Saccharomyces cerevisiae S288C: one gene and its partners. Changing the gene in region 1 together with any one later gene gives a genetic interaction. Each region holds a gene or a part of one and is shown in the gene's direction. Other genes may lie near its edges.

What was found. A genetic interaction does not mean that the proteins touch.
Region 2: mutations in COQ10 (region 1) and RCK1 together harm fitness more than expected from each alone (negative genetic interaction), as found in Saccharomyces cerevisiae (2 studies listed by BioGRID).
Region 3: mutations in COQ10 (region 1) and TIM18 together harm fitness more than expected from each alone (negative genetic interaction), as found in Saccharomyces cerevisiae (2 studies listed by BioGRID).

Annotation. Positions count from the first base shown.
Region 1 is NC_001147.6:308,589-311,548, forward strand, and holds COQ10 (ubiquinone-binding protein COQ10), read left to right. Parts: upstream 1-1,723; coding exon 1,724-2,347; downstream 2,348-2,960. Other genes in the region: RCL1 (rRNA-processing endoribonuclease), read left to right, coding at 1-453; ERMES complex subunit MDM12, read right to left, coding at 736-1,551; CSI2 (Csi2p), read right to left, coding at 2,754-2,960. UniProt on the Saccharomyces cerevisiae protein: Required for the function of coenzyme Q in the respiratory chain. May serve as a chaperone or may be involved in the transport of Q6 from its site of synthesis to the catalytic sites of the respiratory complexes.
Region 2 is NC_001139.9:205,422-209,071, forward strand, and holds RCK1 (putative serine/threonine protein kinase RCK1), read left to right. Parts: upstream 1-1,611; coding exon 1,612-3,150; downstream 3,151-3,650. Other genes in the region: carbonyl reductase (NADPH-dependent) ARI1, read left to right, coding at 3,585-3,650.
Region 3 is NC_001147.6:874,243-876,931, reverse strand, and holds TIM18 (Tim18p), read left to right. Parts: upstream 1-1,610; coding exon 1,611-2,189; downstream 2,190-2,689. Other genes in the region: MUM3 (Mum3p), read right to left, coding at 1-1,333. UniProt on the Saccharomyces cerevisiae protein: Component of the TIM22 complex, a complex that mediates the import and insertion of multi-pass transmembrane proteins into the mitochondrial inner membrane.

The DNA of each region.
Region 1 (2,960 bases):
AATCTGCAATGCGAAGTTAACATAACGGCAGATGTCTGGAGAGGTGAAAATTCAGGGAAGAGTCCAGGCTGGGGTATTACTTTGGTTGCTCAGTCCAAGCAGAAAGGTTGGAGTTATTTTGCAGAAGATATCGGTGATGCAGGTTCTATACCTGAAGAACTTGGTGAAAAAGTTGCCTGTCAATTATTAGAAGAAATATCAAAGAGTGCAGCAGTTGGTAGAAACCAGCTTCCATTAGCAATTGTTTACATGGTCATCGGGAAAGAAGATATCGGCAGATTGAGAATTAATAAGGAACAGATAGACGAAAGATTCATAATCCTCTTGAGAGATATTAAGAAGATCTTTAATACTGAAGTCTTTTTAAAACCAGTTGACGAGGCGGATAATGAAGACATGATAGCTACTATCAAGGGTATTGGTTTCACAAACACAAGCAAAAAGATTGCATAGCATGTTCTAATATTATTCAATAGATATTAGACCACTGTATATAAGTTATATATATATATATGATTATTTAGGTGTAACTTCACGGACAACTGTCTAGAGTATAAGATTACTGGAGGATCATTGATGATTTCCTTTAACTCTTTTGGGTCATCTAAAATATCATCAAAGAGCGTATGCGAAAAGCGCGTTAAGAATAGATTACTTCATGACAAAATATAATTTTCCAGCTCAAAAATGTTTGTTTTTTTATGTAGACACTATTTTCAAACTATCTTTGTTAAATTACTCATCACCATCGTTGAAATCCAGATTAATCCAACTTGGCCATGCTAACTCCTTTCTTAAAAAATCTTTGAATATCGTAAACAAAAACTGTTCTAGTTCTCCAACACTTCTTAATACTGAGCCCTGTCCCTGATATTGTTCCCCTATTTCGGTTTCAATCTTCATACTTCTCACAATGGATATTCGCTCCAATGGCTTAGTAGCTGCCAGAATTGGCCCCTTAGGATCTAAAACAGTTTGGTTGTCATCCAGTGCAGGATCACTAACATCACACAGAAAGCTAAGAAATAGTTGCTTTGATAAACATGCAACAATGCAAAGGGAATGGAGACCGATATCACTGATAGAAAGTTTTACTGGCAAAGTCATAAATTTTTCTACGGGATAATTCAGCACAAGGTCGGCACCAATCGTAACGAGTAAGTCACCCTTGTACTCGACCTCTAGTAAAAATTGTATATCGTTGGGGGATGGCATCACCACAGGCGCCTCAAAATCATCTTTAGGTCCTTCATGATTAGCTATAGTACGATCAGGACAAATATGTTCGCTGTCCTCCTTGTTGTCATTATTTTCCTCCGTCTCTTGATCAGCCTCCTCTCTAATTGAATCATAAAACTCATCTAGGGGATCTGTTATTTCTTTCAGTGTTATAGCAGGACCAACTTTTCCCAGATCAAAATCTAGTACCCTAAGATTACTTACGTAGCTTGGTAGTTGCGTATTTTGTAAATATGAATTTAAATGTTTTCTTATAAGATCATTCAGTCTATTGTCAGATTCCAATGTACTCCAATTAATATCAAAAGACATTTGGATTAGTTGAAGCCAGCTTATGATCTGTTTCAACCGTTACATAGGATGGCATGCTTTTTCTCATGTTAGAGAAAAATTTAAAGATCGAGTTGTCTGAAAAACCTGAACTATTTAAAACGAATAATAGGATAAGGAGCCAAACAATAAACGGCTAAAGATACCGTGGAGAATGGTTTTGATAATAAGGCCCTCACAGACATTGATATTATTCAGGAAAGCGATGCTCAAGCCAATTGGGAGATATCCTCTTAAAAGAAATTTTTTTGGTTTGAGCGGTACCAATCACACTATTAGGGAACAGCGATATGTTTTGCGCAAGGCCATAAACGCCCCTCCAAGCACAGTCTACGCTGCAGTGTCAGAAGTTGCCCAATATAAGGAATTTATTCCTTATTGTGTTGATTCGTTTGTAGATAAACGAAATCCTGTGGATAACAAGCCTCTCATTGCGGGGCTTCGAGTTGGTTTCAAACAATACGATGAGGAATTTATATGCAATGTTACCTGTAAAGATACTGATCATACGTATACCGTTGTTGCAGAAACAATATCTCATAATTTGTTTCACCTTTTGATTTCGAAATGGACCATAATGCCTCACCCAAATAGACCAAATGCGGCCATGGTAGAACTTCTATTAAGATTTAAATTCAAATCTCGGATATATAACAGTGTCTCTCTAATATTTGCGAAAACTGTGACTGAATTGGTGATGAACGCATTTGCCAAAAGAGCATACCATTTAGTAAGATTAGCAATGCTAAAACCTTCTTCTAAAGAAGGCTCTCCGTGATATCTTCCGTATAATTTCAGATAACAAAGATCATGCCATCCAGGATAAGCGTATGCATGGTTAAATTTTTAGACTATAGAACAAGATTTTTCTGTATAGTTATGTTTATAGTATTTAAGCTTTCTAACAAGCTCCAGTAGGGGCGGAGGATACAAACAAATATATTTTGCTGCAAAATTTCCTGGTCTTCCGTCGCAATCAACAAGTTGATACGCAGATGCACCATTTTATTCATTGGCAAAGTACGATCAGTTTAGTGCTTGTATCTGTATGCGAAAAAAGAATGGTGTACTAAAAACAGCGCATGGTGATGGCGAGGAATTTACACGTATCCTCTCATTAATTGAAGTATTAGGTTTTCGAGTCGCACTTAGTGTAAATGAGGTGTAGAAAGGTGGGGACGCAATTATTCCTTACCGTCGAGCAGTTGATCCAGATGAACACTGGGAGGACGGTACTTCTTTACTTTACCCTGACTAACATTTGATTTTGGAGTAGAGCGGTCTTCAGAGTCGGGACTTAAATTGTATGATGTATAATTGAATGGATTAGTGCTGTCTGTAAACTTTCCCAGTATTTGGGTAGCACCAGGTTCCCTTGGAGTACTGGACAA
Region 2 (3,650 bases), on another chromosome or scaffold:
CAAGGGTTTCTTCTGTGAACATTTTGAATTGTACGCTTAAGATGATAATACCTAACTGATTCCAACCTATATTAGTAGAACCGAAACATACAAATAAGTGGTTGTTTGGCCGAGCGGTCTAAGGCGCCTGATTCAAGCAATATCTTGACCGCAGTTAACTGTGGGAATACTCAGGTATCGTAAGATGCAAGAGTTCGAATCTCTTAGCAACCATTATTTTTTATCTTTTTGGTTCTGTGATCAAGCTACCCGCGTTTGAAGCCGACTAAAGACGAGAAAAATTAGACCTTCATTTTTGCCTGTTTGCTGCATGTAAAAGAATGTTGGTTGAACATGTCGTTTAAGAGAAGAAATCGGGTACGGCGCTCTGGCTTTTAAAATTGAAGAAATTGGTGTTCTTCCGGTTAATACTTTGAACTCGGCTTTTCTTAACATGTAATAAAGTTTGTTACATCTCCCATAATTAAGTTTCTGGAACACGCATTGTTCTATTTTTAGACGGGAGACCAGAACTTCCTGATATATGACCGCTTTTTAGTGACTACGTATACTTTCTTTCTGCAATTACGTGTAAGAAAAAATTGATTTTTTATTTTTAAATTCACGGAATTTCAGACTGTGAAAACTTTGTAGTTCCAACTCACTTTGCTATGCAAGAAAATAATGAGGGGAAACAAAAAAAAAATGAGAGCGGAGAAAAGAACAATGCAGCTCAAGTATGAAGAAGAAAGTCACAGCAACGGAAATAAAAATCAAAATTGCGAAAATTGACAATCTTGACAATCGAAGCGGAAAAACAATGGAAGGTCCAGATACCTGTTGACCTTAAAAATGCAGAAAAATCGCCTTTATACGGCGACATTGTGAAAAATGACGTTAAAATCTTGTACATAAAAAAAGGGAATTACAAACTTGTAGTGTTTTTTTTTTTTAGGGGACTTGCATGAAAGTTAAATTTTATAGAAGTAATTAAATAGTCGATTTCCTTTCCTGTGTGTGACGAATCTAGATTTTTTTCATGTAAGAGACCCCGCCCTGCGGAGAGGGGCAAACAATTCTAGCAGAAAAAAATCAGTGGAAAAAAAAAAGAAATTCCGGATATGATAGAATATTTCTTCGAGAAACCTTTTGGATGAGGAGTGCCCTTCCATGAAGAAATTCTTCCTGCATCAGCACCTTCCCGGCAAGGCATTTCATTTTTTTTTTCCGAGAAGAAGATTTTTAAGTGGGCTACCCCACGCTTTCGGTGCCTATGGTAGCTGCATGATCACACAATGCACTCCCATTAAGAGTTTGTGAAGTGCATGAGATTGACATCTCGGCGTCCCTTAGTTTCCTGTCGGATTTTCAGTTATATGGAGTGGGTGAAGTCATTATCCGAATATTCGCGGATCATTGACGTATAAATACTTCATACTACTTCATACCAGATATTTCCTACATGTTGAAAGTCAATTGAAAAAAATAAATCATCACTTAACTCTTTTCCAGTGACACATCGCAAAGATTACTCAAATAATCTTCCTAAAACAATACTACCAGCATCTATTTCATGCAGCACCAAGCACAGAGGCTACATATCATATAAAATAAGTCATCATAGAGAAAAAAATGTCAGTAAACCCAGAATTTATAGCCGATGGCATCGATTTTTATCCAACAACGCCCGATGCCGCGTATTTCAATGCCGCTGATGGTAAAAATAAAGTTAACAGGATAAATGGTAACTCAGAAAATTTACACCACTCCTTTGCATCGGGTTGCCGTAGATCATCTCTTTCAGTCGACTTTAATGTTACCTCGTCCGATTCAGAAAAAAGTGAACAGAGCTGCTTGGAAAACAACTCTCAAGAAGACGAATATTTTTGTGACATTTTTTCCACTGAATTAAAATTAGATGAAACTTCTAACAAGTCAACCGATTATTCCAGTTCAAATCACCAGTATCCTGAACAACTGGAGTTGCACAATTATAAACTGCTCAATAAAATTGGTGAAGGGGCATTTTCCAGAGTATTTAAAGCAGTAGGCATCAACACGGATGACCAAGCTCCTGTTGCCATCAAAGCAATCATAAAGAAAGGCATTTCGAGCGATGCCATCTTAAAAGGGAATGATAGAATCCAAGGTTCCAGCAGAAAGAAAGTCTTAAACGAAGTTGCCATCCACAAACTGGTTTCGAAAAATAATCCGCATTGTACAAAATTTATCGCATTCCAGGAATCGGCGAACTACTATTACTTAGTGACGGAGTTAGTCACAGGTGGGGAAATATTTGATAGGATCGTCCAACTAACATGCTTTAGTGAAGACTTAGCTCGTCATGTCATTACTCAGGTAGCAATTGCAATTAAACATATGCACTACATGGGTATTGTGCATCGTGATGTCAAACCAGAAAACCTACTATTTGAACCTATCCCATTTTATGGCCTTGATGGGGACATGCAAAAAGAAGACGAGTTTACATTAGGTGTCGGCGGAGGCGGTATTGGTTTAGTGAAGCTAATGGACTTCGGACTAGCCAAGAAACTTCGGAACAATACCGCAAAAACTCCCTGCGGAACGATAGAATACGTCGCATCAGAAGTATTCACCTCCAAACGATATTCCATGAAAGTTGATATGTGGAGTATTGGCTGCGTACTATTCACGTTATTGTGTGGATATCCTCCGTTTTACGAAAAGAACGAAAAAACATTATTGAAGAAAATATCGAGAGGAGATTACGAATTCTTGGCGCCATGGTGGGACAACATAAGTTCTGGCGCTAAGAACGCAGTTACCCATCTTTTGGAGGTTGACCCAAACAAGAGATACGATATCGATGACTTCCTAAATGATCCTTGGTTAAATTCGTACGATTGTTTGAAGGATTCAAACTCAAATTCTTATGCCAGCGTGCAAAGCATACTAAATGATTCATTCGATGAGAGAGCAGAGACCCTACATTGTGCATTAAGCTGCCAATCTGAAAAACAAGATGACACCGAGTTTTCCAGAAGTGAAAGCTCGGAATACATATTTATGACGGAAGAAGACAGAAACCTACGGGGCAGTTGGATCGGTGAGCCAAAAGAGTGTTTTACCTTAGACCTTGCAACATCTTCTATATACCGAAGAAGGAAGAACAAGATATTCTTCTGGTAAACTCTTATCCAGTGGAAAACGCACCCAGCATATTCGAAAATATATCAACTGTCTCCCCTTTTTATACTAATAATTAATAGCATTCATATTGAAATAATAAAAAAGATACGTTTAATATTTACGCCAGCTCTCTAGTTACAGTTTCCTAACGCATACGTCATCAATTTGTTAAGATCGGCTTCGCTCTATAAAAATGTCGGCCGAAATTAGCATAGGATTTTCCGCGGTTCCGACCCCTATCCTAGAAACACGGAAAAACTTGCGAATAATTCCGGAATTTATTCTATGCAACTTTATGAAGACAAATTACTATAAATGAACCGCTCATTCAGAAAAACTATGTCTCGAGCTCAATGGATCTTACTACATAGTTTATAAAAACAGTAATTGTGCATTGTACAACTGTGCTAAACAGACTTAAAAAAGTAATAATTATGACTACTGATACCACTGTTTTCGTTTCTGGCGCAACCGGTTTCATTGCTCTACACATTATGAAC
Region 3 (2,689 bases), 570 kb from region 1:
GTAATGGTTGAATTTGATGCTTTTTTACATTTACCATCACAACAATGGGGTCCTTATCCTTTATGTTGTTTTCAGACTCCATTTCTGGTTGAATCATCTCAAAGATTGTCGGAGATATTTGCTCTAATTGATAACCTTTATGAAGTCTCAAATCTCCGTTGGTATGATCATGCCCACTATCAGTATATTTGACTCGGTAATAAATTATGGTGACATCATATATGTATGGATTGATTCGTACCACCTTGGGCTTGCCGCTGCTGATTTCTTCCTTTTTTGTAAGTAAGTATGAATTATCTACGATCATGGGCGGCGTCGTCTTATCGGATACCTTGGAAGACTCCATTTTCATGCTCTTGTGAACTAATTTGTCAAGTTCTCTGTGAAACAGGTATCGGGCCTCTTTGATTATATTGTTACGGTTTTTCTTTCTTTTGATGTTTTTAATTGATGAAAAAGCAGCCATCAAAGTGGTAAAGTTTTTAAATCTTGGGTATAATAAATTATAGAAGTTTATAACAAAGGGAAAATCTTGGTGTAATTTTCTTTGAATAATTGATAGTTCCAAACTCATGATATTGACTTCGGGAAAAATAGTAATAGCTTGATTGTTTTGTCTTTCTAAAATATCTCTTAACTCATTCGATGAGAGTGCGAGTGTTTCATCTTTGAAGAATATGTTCTTTAGTAGATCCAATCGAGGAAAGTTAAACATTTTTCCCCAACCAAGAAATTTTAACTGAGGCCATTCAGCTAGATCTTCCCCCTTCCTCAGCTTTTGTAGAAATTCCCATTTAGTATAAAACTTGGTGGGACAACTTTTGAGAAAAAGGTAATTAATCAATGTGTAGTCATTCACTGATCGATGATTACATATCATTAATGTGGTTTGGAATTTGCTATCTTTAAAAAAGTTTAGGTCATCACTTCCCTCGGTTATGAAAATTTGGACGTTTTTTTTTTTTTCGAAGGTCATTTCAACTAAATGTAGCTGAAACCAAATTTCAATCGCCTCCAGCACCTTGTCTAAAGTTGGTATTATTTTCAGTTTACTATATGTCAGTGCCCTCGAGAGCAGCCGAATTTTGTACTCACCTATTATGGGCACATGCGACCAAAATCTGTCATATAGTAAATGCAGTCTAAGACAGAAGGAATTCGTGTTAATGAACTGTAGGAATTGATTGATTGCAGTAAAAAAAGAATGAAGGTAAAAATAGCCAAAAAGAATAAGCAACCTTGGGGTCAGACTCAACCAATCAGAAATATCTAACTGTTTGAACTGGACCCTAGAACCGACCATATATGTTTCGAAGAAATCAACAAAACCCATCTTAAAGTTATACCTTTCGTTTAGTTTTCTGTGTGGAAAAGAGAAATTTTATTTGATTAAGATTAACAATGAATCTATTATGGTGCATATCTTGCCCTGTTAACTTTCAATTTTTCATTTTGTGTCGCTACATGCCTTGTTGACACTCGGTTTTTTTGAAAAACAAACCATTCTCGCAAAAGATCGGATAAAAATGAAAACTTCCAGACAGTGGAATGCACACATTAATTAACGGTGATGCGAGGTGCAACAACTGAGTAATTTAATACCTTTGGTAATGCTATTGTTTCCTGGCTTGAAGCCTGTTCTTAATGCTTCCACTGTCATTGTAAATCCTGTACGAGCTGTTTTTCCAGGATTAGTACTTTCAACCAAAAGATCCTTTTATAGCATTAATCGTTTAAATGCTGAAAATAAAATAAACGATATTGCAAATACGTCAAAAGAGGCATCCTCTTCAGTGCAGATGTTTAAGCCCCCAGAGTTCTCTCAATTTAAGGACTCTTATCAAAAAGACTATGAGAGAATAGCAAAATATACTTTGATTCCATTAACAATGGTACCTTTTTATGCCTCCTTTACCGGCGGGGTTATAAATCCTTTACTCGATGCGTCTTTATCGTCCATTTTTTTGATATATTTACAGTATGGCTTCACAAGTTGTATTATTGACTATATACCGAAGGAAAAGTATCCAAGATGGCATAAGCTCGCCCTTTATTGCCTCTATGGAGGATCCATGTTGTCCCTGTACGGTATCTACGAATTGGAAACGAAAAATAATGGTTTTGTTGACCTGGTAAAGAAACTTTGGAATGAAAATGATGACCATTTGTATATATTTGGAAGAAACTGACTCACCCATACTTTTTCTTTTTTTTTGCATTTCTAAGATTTCATTTTTAGAGTCAGATTCCCCATGAACTTAACTTAGGAGAGATTTTATAAAAAGACAAATAAGCAATAAAATATATCCTTCTTCTCGAAATCCAGATATATATGTATATATCGATCTGCTTGGATTGGTACAAGACGATCAATTCTTGTCGAGTGAAACGCCTAGGGATACAGAAAGGAAAAGTAGGAATTCGTGATTGCTAGTATTCTCATTCTGTCTAAAGTGCCTTTTTTATTATTATCTGTATGCTTTTTGTTTCTTTAATGATGAGGAACGAATTTTTATACTACAAAAAAATAATGTTTACAATTTTTATCAATGTATTGAAACATTTTAATATTTGTTAGGATTCGCCTTTATTTCACAATCAAAAGGAAACACATAAAAAAAGTGTCATGCTCTACGTGAATAAAGAATTAGTGAAATAATAATAAGGCAATCAGAATACAACTATCGCA